3 linked regions of the Oryzias latipes genome follow. The protein of the gene in region 2 interacts with the protein of the main gene of each other region in a pairwise test. Links are inferred from orthologs where the notes say so. Each region holds a gene or a part of one and is shown on either strand. Other genes may lie near its edges. The genes, in order: plekhb2, cda and syntenin-1.

Region 1 (3,276 bases), on a different chromosome or scaffold from region 2:
GTCACACGGTTGCTGCCGTACAGTCATTTCTGATAATTGTCACGTTGAAGGCCATCATCCCGCTGATACCACGGCCACTTAAGAAATGAATATTCAATAAATTTTTACTACTGTATTAATGTTATTTTTTCGGTTTAAATCGCTTCTCACAAAATAAATGGACTGATGGGTGGTGCTGTGTGTTGTTGTGGTAACGGCTGAGCCGGCACTGACCTGGACTATAGCGGCAAAGGAAACTGATATCTATGCTGATCGTTAAAGCAGCAGTCCAGAGAGAAAGTTCACCTCTTATCTCTTGTTGTTGTCCAGACGATGAAGCAAAAGGTTGTTTTACAGAAGCCAGCGCAGAACATTTAAACTATGTGAGCGGGACTTCTTTTGCAGGTGTGCATTATCACTTTTTAATGCACACCCAGCAGCCAATCAGAATCCAGTATTCACCCAGACCATGGAATAAGGATGCTTCATTGCTTCCGCTGAATGGACAGACCTGCTCTGACATTAGAGCTTCTTCATCTACGCTCGTGAATCTCATCGTGAACAACTTTCAGGGATGATAAATGAGACAAAAACAAGTTTGTTACTATTTTTATTAATCACACATTTCATGAACTCGTTTCAGACTCAGGAGGAGTTCTCCAGGCAGAACGCCGTTTAACTTTAATCCACTTTTGAAAACAAAAGGCCATAGGAAAAGCTCTATGTTTTTTTACCTCAAATATTAGCTTTTAGCATTGCTAATGCACAATCATGAACCTTAAGCACCCCTATATGAAACACTGTTCCTGGGGCCTAAACTGCATTTCTAATAGAATAAATGAATACAATTCAATTGACGTGAAAAATGGAAGGCCTTTATGAGGAAACATGGTTGAGAAGATGTTCACGCTAACATACGGATCTAAACGGCAGAAACCATTATTTTAAACAAAAACAAATCAACAGCTGCTAATGAGAGGAAAGCACCAAAGGATGCACACGCTCAGAAAATCTAATGGTAAGGGTAATCTTTTTACCCTTACCATTATCAGATGGCTCCATAGTGAAAGGTAGCATTTGTGTGAAGTTGTACGTGTTGGTTTTAAAGGCTGCATTCACCATGAACAGTTAGCAAGGAGAAGATTCACAACAAACCTGCATGGGAGTAAACAAAACCATCCAGACTACACACCCACTGTGCCCACTGTCCAGGACAGTGACAGAAATGTGCTTGAGAGGACCTAAAGTGTGCATACATAAGGAGTGTTTCCTGTCTTTTAGAAGTCAGTCATGTTTTTGTTAAGACTGTTCATGTTAAGACACGTCAAATAGGTTGCCACACAGCCAAAGTGCTTCTAGTATTCAGGACGTATGCCTCCACCTGTCACTCTTCTCAGACGTACCCCCACAGACTTCATGAAAGTGAGCGGACGCATGTGCAATAACTTTAAAAGACGGAGAAGAGGGATCCCAGAGCCAGGCCAGTGGCTGCTCCGGCGAGCATGCCCAGAGCCACGTCTCCGGCGTCCTCACGCTGCCGCTCCCGAATGACCACATGGTTCACTGCAGCGCCTGGGAAACACCACAAAGGACCGGGCTTACTGCCACCCTCTCTCATCTGGAGCTGTAGCACGCATGCCGTGTAAAAACTCACCTTGGTACTGATATGGATAAGCAAGGCTGTATGGTGCCCCTTCAGCAGAGTACACAACCTGTGTGGCGTTATGAGGAAGAGCCGTATAATCTCCATACGGGCCTGGAGCGTAAACCTGGACAAGAAGTGAGCAGAGATTCATGAAGCAGCATCAGTAAAATGATGATCATCTGCATTCAATCAAGACGTTTAACCGTTTGCCTCTAATCTACACATAGGTGGTTTTTTGTTTTTGTTACCTTTTCTGGTCCACACTCATGTAGGGCATTAAGGTGTTCTGTGTTTCTCTCTAAATACCTTGGAACTCATGCGCACCATTGTTGTTTGTCCAAAAAGGATTTACAGACAATAGTGTCTGTACTCAAGTGAAAATAATGAAAGACTGAACAAATGATGCATCGAGGAGCCGTTGAACGCTGCAGTAGTTCACCAGCAGGTGGCAGTCAATCCCAGCTTTAAATGGTCTCTTTTCCGTACCTAGTCCTTAACCCTTGTGCTATCCTAGGCACTTTAACATTGGGAGTTGGGTCATCTAGACCCACTAGACAGTGCTCTGAACCTTTTTTGATTTGTGATCTTCACTGGTGTCCATGGATTACATGAAATCTTTCCACCTTTATCCACCTTTGTCATGGTAGGGAGAACACGTCAATGGAAGGGTGTAGTCATCTAAGATAGCACAAGGGTTAAAGCAGGGGTGCTCATTACGCCGGGTCGATCTTCAAGGACATGAGGGTAGATCGCAGGTCAGCAAAGATAAATAACCAAAAAAATAAAAAAAGTACTTCTAAAAAATCCGTCAATCATCAAAATCCTCACCGAGAAGTACAGGACTTGATTGACATGCAGAACGGCCAATCAAACATCCTCTGAAACATAACACACTGCACATGTGTGATTAAATTCACTGAGCACAAATTCTGTCATTAGAAAGTCGCTTTGCGCCCCGGAGCACGTCAAGTCCCCGGCAGAAGACCACTCCGGCCCACTGGAGTGTTTATAGAAGCCCCGACCGCCCCGCATGTCTCTTCCTGCTTCCGTAGTTCCCGCCCAATGGATCCGAGCTCACCAACACAGCAGTGTATTCCGTGGCACGTGCTTGTCACGGAGCCAGCTGGCTTTAGAAATGCCCCGCTCCCCCCAGACCATGGTTTACAGCAGAGCATGACATACGACAGTCACTGCTTTCTGTTTTTGTAATAAAACGCACCCCTGCCTTCAAATGTTTTGTCTGTTTTATCCATTTACATGGTTTCCTAAAACTTCCCATTCCTCCTAAAGCCAAAGAAGTCCACTTACAACCTTTTCAGGTATTTACTCTTCCAAGGAATTGCTCAGAGAACGGTTTGGGATTCCTGAAAATTGTTGGACTTTTTGTAATGAGGATATGGAAACAACTGAGCATCAATTGTGGGCGGCCGCGGTGCAGCGGTAGGGCGGTGGACCCATGATCATAATATTGCACGTTTGATTCCCGCCTTGCACACCATGTGTGGAAGTGTCCTAGGGCAGGACACTGAACCCCACCTTGCCTCTGGGTAGGTTGGCGCCAGCGTTTGGCAGCGGCGCCGCCACCAGTGTGTGAATGAGTGTGGGACTGTAAATCGCTTTGGGCCTTGTACGTAGAAAAGCGCTATATAAAT
Region 2 (4,325 bases):
CCTGTCAGGTGAGCTTCAACATCTGCTACGCTCTACCTGGAGGATGCCATTTGGCTCTCACTCCAGCTGATTTCACCAAATCATTCACTTTAACACGTATAGATCTATTTATAGAATGCATCACAAAGATCAATTTAAGAACTTCCTGAACTGAAAAACACTTTCAGGAGCAAAAGCACAGGCATTGAAATAAAAGTGGTTTTTGTTCGCTTGACAAATGTACAACACAATGCGACACACACACTTTTAAATACCAAAACAAATGTGTGTATTCCTATCACACGAAAAAATAATACTTTTTAATCAACCAATTTGTTTTATTTTGTCCAATTAGCTAAATTGATTGAAGCTGTGCATGGAAACCAGTGAGTTTGGAAGGAGAAACCTCTGCTGTGTTAACATACTCAAAGGAATCGGACATTCCATTGAGAACCATAACTTATGGCGAGTTTCTATGAACCCCGCCTGTGGAACGGTTTCCCAGAGAGCCTCAGGACCACACAGACTGCTCATGTGTTTAGAGGATGACTCGAGTTTTAATCTGGCTTTTAACGGGAATTTAGCAATACAATTATTTTATGTTTAATTTATTTGGTGAATCCTTTTGTTGTTTTGTTACTTATTTGAATGGATCTTTTTTAAATTCTTTTGCAATTTTATCAACTTTAGAGATTTAGCAAATTTTGCCAATTAAGGTTTATTTATTTATGTTTACACCTGTAAGTATTTTATTCCTTTTCATTTTTTTTTTGTTTTTTCATGTGAAGCTCCTTTGTGCTACATGAGTATGAAACGTGCTTTTATAAACAAAGTTAGATTTGATTTGATCCAATATTATAACATCTCTGCAGGGGGATTCAGGAGGCCCACTTGTCTGCAACGGTAAATTTGAAGGCATTGTCTCTTGGGGCATCGGCTGTGGCTATGCGTCCTACCCTGGTGTTTACACCAAGGTCAGAAACTACCTCATCTGGATTGACCAGGTCATCCAGAGCAGCCCATAACTCCTCAAACCACAAGAAAGTACTGAATAAAATTTCAACTGTCCCAAAAGGTTTTTTTCTTTCACTTTGTATTCCTGAACTTACTAGATAATTTATCTTCAATCTTCAAAACTTGTCTTAAATCTGCAAAAGTATCTTATTTTAGATTCTAAAAATCCTCATATTTCTTTTAAAGGTCCTTTAAAATGATCAATAAACTAGATTATATAGATGTTTGAAACTTTAAAAAGTTTCACCTCCTGATGTTTTTCTGTCTGCTACCTACATTTTTCTTTAATCCTGAAAATAAAGAGACATATTTTGTCAGACTAAACCTTCGGATTTTGCATCTTTTGATCCATCCTGACGCAAAGAAGTCATTCCATTTAGGGTCAAACCTGCTTCAAACTACAGGAAAAAAACGTTCTCATCCTGCAGCACAGCTAACGGCCTGACAAATGATTGGCTGAGATCAGGCGTCGTGCCTCTGCCCAAATCACATTTAAAGCTGAACTGCATGACAATCATTCACCCACTCAGTGCAGAGGTATCACACACAGCCTCAAAGCCAACCTCACAAACATCAAGCATGGAGGAGGTCAAGTCTGGACAGAAGATCACAAAGATCCAGGATGAAGGCTCCAGAGACCTGTCCCCAGAAACAGTTCAAAGACTGATTTTTCAGTCTCAGGAGGCGAAGAAGAAAGCGTACTGTCCTTACAGCCAGTTCAGAGTGGGAGCTGCTCTCCTCACCATCGACAACCGTGTCTTCACAGGTGAGTCGCACCTCATCCTCTCTGATTCAGTCATTTCATGTCCTGTGATGCCAAACAAAACCTAAACCAGATTAAACTGATGATCAAAGAATCATCCGGCTTTCACGGCTGCTTGGTGACCCTCAGCAAAAAGTATATACATGTACTACAAGTTTGCTTAGTCTATACTACGGTGAGGTACTTGAAGCTTACATTTTTATGTACTATTGTACATTTTAAACAATACCAATTTAGTCTGAAGTACACATACATGGTATACTTCATAAAATAAACTTCAAGTGTAGTACTTTTTGCAACATTTTCAGCTCTGTGTAAGAAGAAGCAAATAATAGCGACTCAAATCTTTTTGGGAAAAACTTAGGAGAAGAAAAAAAATAAAACTTCAATCTGACATTGAAGTTGTCACACAATGTTAATGATTAGCTGACAGGGGAAATGACTGGACTCCAGAGTGAAGGTTCACATTTCTAATTGGTCATTACAACACCACATGGCGCAATTTTCAGATTCCAAATTTGAATTTTTTGGATTCAAGTTCTTCATGAAAATCTGTTTCAATTGCAACTTTTGTCCGAGCGAAAGTTTTCTCCTTTTGTGTCAAAATCCCTGCACACATGAAAAGGCTTGACAAAACCTTGAAAGGCTGCTGGAGGTCCAAAGGCTCACTGACTATTTGATTAAGCTATAGAAAAAAAAAATCAATAGGCAGCCTCTTTACAGAGAAAAGGACCCCTTTTTCTTTGGGACATATGCATTTGGTCACTCTGTTTTGTCCCGTGTCTCTGACAGGCTGCAATGTGGAGAATGCATGCTACAACCTGGGAATGTGCGCTGAGCGAAATGCCATGGCAAAGGCGGTGTCAGAAGGACACAGGAACTTCAAGGCGATTGCAGTCGCCAGGTGAAAAAATGAAACCGCCATTTTTGAAAATTCACTCCATCAGACACCAGCATCTTTCGCCCACTTTACAAACTTCTTTGTGTTTCTTTTTGCACTTCAGCACACCTTAACAAATTATCTTAGCGATGTGACCATTTCTGTTGAAGCAAATGCTCGTATAGTAATAAAAAGTCAAAGCATGATTTCTCTACAAAAACATCTCTTTTTACACTTCATATAAAACAAAACTAAGTGTAGGATGGAATAGCTTGTGTTATATCTTGTTGCGTCATTTGATCTTGAAAACATTTTATTTTAAGCAAAAATACTGATTTAAAATATGTTGTTTATGTTTTTGTGATGATGAATGGTCTAGGAATGAAGGGTTTAAAGACACTGGACGGTTTTATTTGACTTATAGCGTGGAACAAATGCATTTAGCAACAACAGGACAAAATTTTTAAATGAAACAATTACAAAATTATAATTTGTCGACACATTTATCTTAAAATGTGTAATTATACTCTTGAAATGATTGCAGTTTAGAAATAAGAATAGCTGTGGTGTTGTAGTGCAGGCAAAAGTGAATAAATGTACCTATGATAACAATTTAAACTATTTTTTGATCAAAAGATGGCTATTTTAAGACATATTACCAACTACCAGAGCAGTATACCTGAATATGAGTGTTTATAGGTGATTTCAAGATTTCACTTACTCTTAAAGGGGTGTAATATATTACTAATTATTTTAAAAAAAAATCTCACAAAGACAAATTCTTTTAGTTCCATTGGCAGATTTCTTCACTTATAACAAGGAAAAACATCTTGAATTCTATATTTTTGACTTGCTTTGAGGACATTTTTTATGAAGTTGCTTCGCTTTCGTGTTTCCTGCTGCAGTGACGTGAGGGATCACTTCGTTTTCCCATGTGGAGGCTGCAGACAGTTCATGAGAGAGGTACTGTTGGGTCATATTGCTTCATTCTGAAGGCTCTGTACCTTCAACACGTCCAAAAGATCCAAACATTCTTTAAAAAAAAAAAATGCAAACATTTGCTTCAGCTTGACAAACACATTGAAGCATCTGAACAAGAAGATATTCCTGAGTCACATTTACTTGTGTTTTTTTCCAGTTTGGGACGGACTGGGATGTTTACCTCTCCCACCCTGACGGATCTCACAGAAAGATGACTGTGGAGGAGCTGCTGCCCTTTTCTTTTGGCCCTGAAGACTTGTCCAAGAAGAAAATACCTCACACTCCCAATGAGTACTAAATGGTTTCCAAAAAACCTGCGTTCAAAAAGTCAATATTTACCAACAGTTTTAAACGTTGCAGCAAATTTTCATTCATGTTTAAATTAATAACAGAAATTTGTGTCTTTCCACGACCGTTCCGTGTATGTCTACCAGACTTTTCACGCATGTACAACATTTATATGGCGTGTACGGCATTTATCACGTTAAAATTATGTAATTGACGCACAAATTACTAATGAATTTCATGTAAACAGAACAATAATTACGCACAGTTCATGTTTTACGTTGATTTATCTGTTCTCTGCGTGGTTCATTTCCTGCAAACTGTCTTTCCTGTTTAAATTATTTCCAGAATATATTTAATGAAAATGTTATTAAAGCTTCCACTTTAAATGCATGAGAATATGCTACAATAAACCATAAAGGA
Region 3 (3,563 bases), on a different chromosome or scaffold from region 2:
AATAAAAAAGATAAAAGAAAAACTCACCTCTTAATCATGTGTTCATAGATGAACTTGGGCATTATGGTGATGGTCATGGCGGTGGGGGAGGAGTTCAGGATGTCTTTGATCTGAGAATCCTAAAATGATCAATACATGAAATCGATTTAATCACCATCCTTTTAACAGTAAAAGAGCAAAGTACAGTAATCTCCATAGCATCCTTCCCCCATTTTCAAATCCTTTCACCCATAAAAACTTCCCAGTCCTCCCAGTTTAAGTATCAGTTTAAGAAGGATTTTTCTGACCAAATAAAATGACTAAGTAACATGTTTATTTCTCAATACAAGTCTATGGGATTTTTGCTTCTTGGTGCCAGCGGGTACTTGTTTATAACGCCGGGGGGGGGGGGGGGGCGGCACTCAGTCAATGGTGTGTGGTTAAATGAAAAATGGCGAGTAAATCTACGTAAAGTAAATCAGGTAAAGTGTTTCCTGGAAATGGTCTTGGGTTGGTTAGGCTCTAAAATTTTTGGGGAAAGTGAGGGTAAACCAGTCTATCATGGCGCCAAAAACAGAACTGAACACATATGCGTGCACACATATTCAGTTCAATTCAGTTTTATTTATATACCTTCATATTACAACACACTTGTATCAAAGGGTTTCACTAATAGTACAGAATATAAATTCAGCCTGCGATGCACCGGGGGGGGGGGGGGGGGGGGGGCTACTTGGCAGTTTTTTCTGAAGATTCATAACCCCTGTTGTAAAATAAAATATGTCCAACACAAGAGGCATTCAGCTCTCATCTGTTTGCTGTTTGTTGGACAGGACAAGTTAAAAAAGAAAACAGAAGATCACATTTATTTTTTTGAGTGGGTAGTACTCCCGCCTGGGGGTGTGAATCTTTAGGCACCTCATGATTTTATTCAGATTCATGAGGAAAGGATTGAATATCAAACCATTATCTATGCATTCTGAGTCTATGACATCTTTCACCCATTCTAATATCAGATACTCTTTGCACTTTTGATTATGTCATGTTTTTTACTTTGTGATTTAGATGTGGCTGTAAAAATTGATTTGTGTATTTCATAAAAGAATTGACTTGAATTTGTGGGGACATATTAAAACAGATTCAACTGACGCTGAAACACAAACCTCACAAACCCCACAAACCTCACAGGGATCAGGAGCGATGGTCCTACGCGTTTGGAGCTGCAGTAACTAACACACCACATACTACAGACTTTAGCTGCTTTTACTCACTGAACCATGAACTGTGCTTCCTTAAAACTGCCCTTTTTTACTATTTTCTGGAGTCGTCTTCCTCGTGCAGGCTTTGGAAATAAAGTCAGCCACCACACATCAAAATGACAAATAGGGTTTTTGCTAATATTTTCCGCTATTGAAAACACAAACAGGACTTGTGTCTCACCTTGAGGCCGATGATGTTCTGTCCATTGATTTCACAGATGTAATGCTCGGTCAGCAGGCCGTTCCGGGCAGCAGAACCGTCTTTGACCAGTGAGGTGATCTTTCCAGACTTGTAGATGAAGCCCACATGTCCAGAGCTGTCCTTGTGCATGGTGACAGTTCGCTGAAAAGGCCTGGAGGAAAAAAACAGAGAACTGTGAATCAGCAGGAGAATTTGAGGGATTAAATGAATCTTTAGTGACATTATTAAGATGTCTAATCAAAAATGGCTGAAACTTTTTTGCTGAGAAGTTGTTAAAAAGTGAAGCAGTGTTCAGAGTTGTGTCTGTGCACCAAAATCAAAATTATGAAAGCAGCAACCATGTTTAAACAGTCTTACCCTGCATCATCGAGGTAAATGTCGTTTCATGCACATTAGGATTCAAATATAGCTTAGAGTTGGAGGTTCATAGCAATTACTACATCGTTTGCTTATGTGATTGATATTTGGACATTAAGCGAAGCTTGAAAGTGACTTTGCTTCAGATAAAAAGCCCTCTGCAGCATCTTTACATGCTTAGTTTGTTACTTTTCAAAGGATCGGAGTATCAGAGGTGATGATCAAACCCCATTGCAGGAATCATTGTCTAAATGTCTAAAGAAAAGTTCAAACAAATAAATTTTTCAACTCTAGATGATGCCCGAAACACTTGATAACATTCAAAAAAACATTCAAACTCTTGCCAACAAACAAGCGTGTTACTTGTAAAGTAATAACATCAATTCATTGTTCTGTAAAAAGGTTGTTCTGGCCAAGTTATGTATTTTTTGTGCCCAAATGGACCCAAAAGTCTCTTTTGGCCTTGAGAAGATAAGCAGAATTGAGCTGATGGCGTTTTATTGAAGCTCTCAAGACGACTGTGATGCACTTCCCTTCCTTTTCATGCTGCATTTTTAGTTTTTAAGAAAACTCTTCTGCTGACTGAACGCAGCAATATTAAAAAAGCTACTGTAGTGGGCATGGAAAATAAAAACTGAGGTTGCTAAGCAACACATCATTTGGTACACATTTTCCTCAGCACCTAATTTGAAAAAACATATATATTTGTTATCAACTAAATGTCTTTCAGGAGACTTTTCTGTCATTTTGGAGATTGCTTTCTAAGGAGATGGCAGAACATGTTTCCATAACTCTGACCAAAGGAGCCAAACACAATCCTTGCTGGCTGCTGTCAATCATCCCTCTAAACAATCCTTCAGCTGAGCAGTCAGCAAATTCTCAGCCAATCTCAGGACGAAGATGTCGAAGGTCTTTCCCGTTTATAACCTTCAGCACATTTACCACACACCTGTCCCTGACCACCATCTCAATGCGGGTCTCGGCCGCGGCCTTCAGAGCCTTGTGGGCTTTGTCCACGCTCCACCCGGCGCAGTTCTGCCCATTGATCTGCAGGACCTGATCGCCGAAGCGCAGCCCGGCCAGGGCGGCGGGGGAGTTGGCCTGCACCAGCTGGATGAACACCCCCTGAGGGAGAGGCAGGAGAAACGTTCAGGCTTTCTCAAGGAAATGAATCCGAGTAATCAGACATAAAAGTCATGAGATAAGTAAAGAAAATGACTAATCGGACTCTTCTTTTAGCAAAACTGTGAATACAGAGTTCCCTTGTTTATCGAGGACGTTGCATCTAAAAATAACCTGAAATGAGGGAAATCTGTGAAGCAGGACTACAGATGTTTTAAGGCTGTAAACCCCTGACTACACATTTTATACGCTTTTCTCAGACAGACATGAACATTTTAACACTTTTCTCTATTGTATAAACCCTGATAGTTCAAACTTTCATGGTAAAAAAGTCCAGAAATAAAGATGGGAAACAAAGATCGATTTAGATTTAGCAAACGGCACACAATCCGTAAAGAACACACGGCACAGAGGAGATTGATTAGGACGGTCAACAGCCAATCGGGATGCAGAACACAGTGTTCAGAATTGTTTTTTTTAAAAGCATGCAATATTGCACCGACATGTCAAATCAAATCAAACTTTATAAAGCACATTCCATATAAAAGCATAACTCAAAGTGCTTATATATTGTCTGCAAAACTTTGAAACCATAAAAAGTGAACTGAGATATAACGAAGGAACACTGTACATTTGAGATGAAA

The links.
Region 1: the proteins of cda (region 2) and plekhb2 interact in binary tests that used the Homo sapiens proteins (3 or more experiments, as listed by UniProt). The two-hybrid records come from large-scale screens. The link is inferred for Oryzias latipes from reciprocal best matches to the Homo sapiens genes CDA and PLEKHB2.
Region 3: the proteins of cda (region 2) and syntenin-1 interact in binary tests that used the Homo sapiens proteins (3 or more experiments, as listed by UniProt). The two-hybrid records come from large-scale screens. The link is inferred for Oryzias latipes from reciprocal best matches to the Homo sapiens genes CDA and SDCBP.

The regions. Positions count from the first base shown.
Region 1 is NC_019862.2:3,232,275-3,235,550, forward strand, and holds the end of plekhb2 (pleckstrin homology domain-containing family B member 2), read right to left. Parts: intron 1,749-3,276; coding exon 1,634-1,748; intron 1,552-1,633; coding exon 1,427-1,551; 3' UTR 573-1,426; downstream 1-572. UniProt on the Homo sapiens protein: Involved in retrograde transport of recycling endosomes.
Region 2 is NC_019863.2:29,307,576-29,311,900, reverse strand, and holds the start of cda (cytidine deaminase), read left to right. Parts: upstream 1-1,499; 5' UTR 1,500-1,500; coding exon 1,501-1,759; intron 1,760-2,548; coding exon 2,549-2,660; intron 2,661-3,541; coding exon 3,542-3,599; intron 3,600-3,774; coding exon 3,775-3,915; 3' UTR 3,916-4,325. Other genes in the region: trypsin-like, read left to right, coding at 1-8, 852-1,004. UniProt on the Homo sapiens protein: This enzyme scavenges exogenous and endogenous cytidine and 2'-deoxycytidine for UMP synthesis.
Region 3 is NC_019865.2:5,706,287-5,709,849, forward strand, and holds part of syntenin-1, read right to left. Parts: intron 2,923-3,563; coding exon 2,747-2,922; intron 1,592-2,746; coding exon 1,420-1,591; intron 120-1,419; coding exon 28-119; intron 1-27. UniProt on the Homo sapiens protein: Multifunctional adapter protein involved in diverse array of functions including trafficking of transmembrane proteins, neuro and immunomodulation, exosome biogenesis, and tumorigenesis.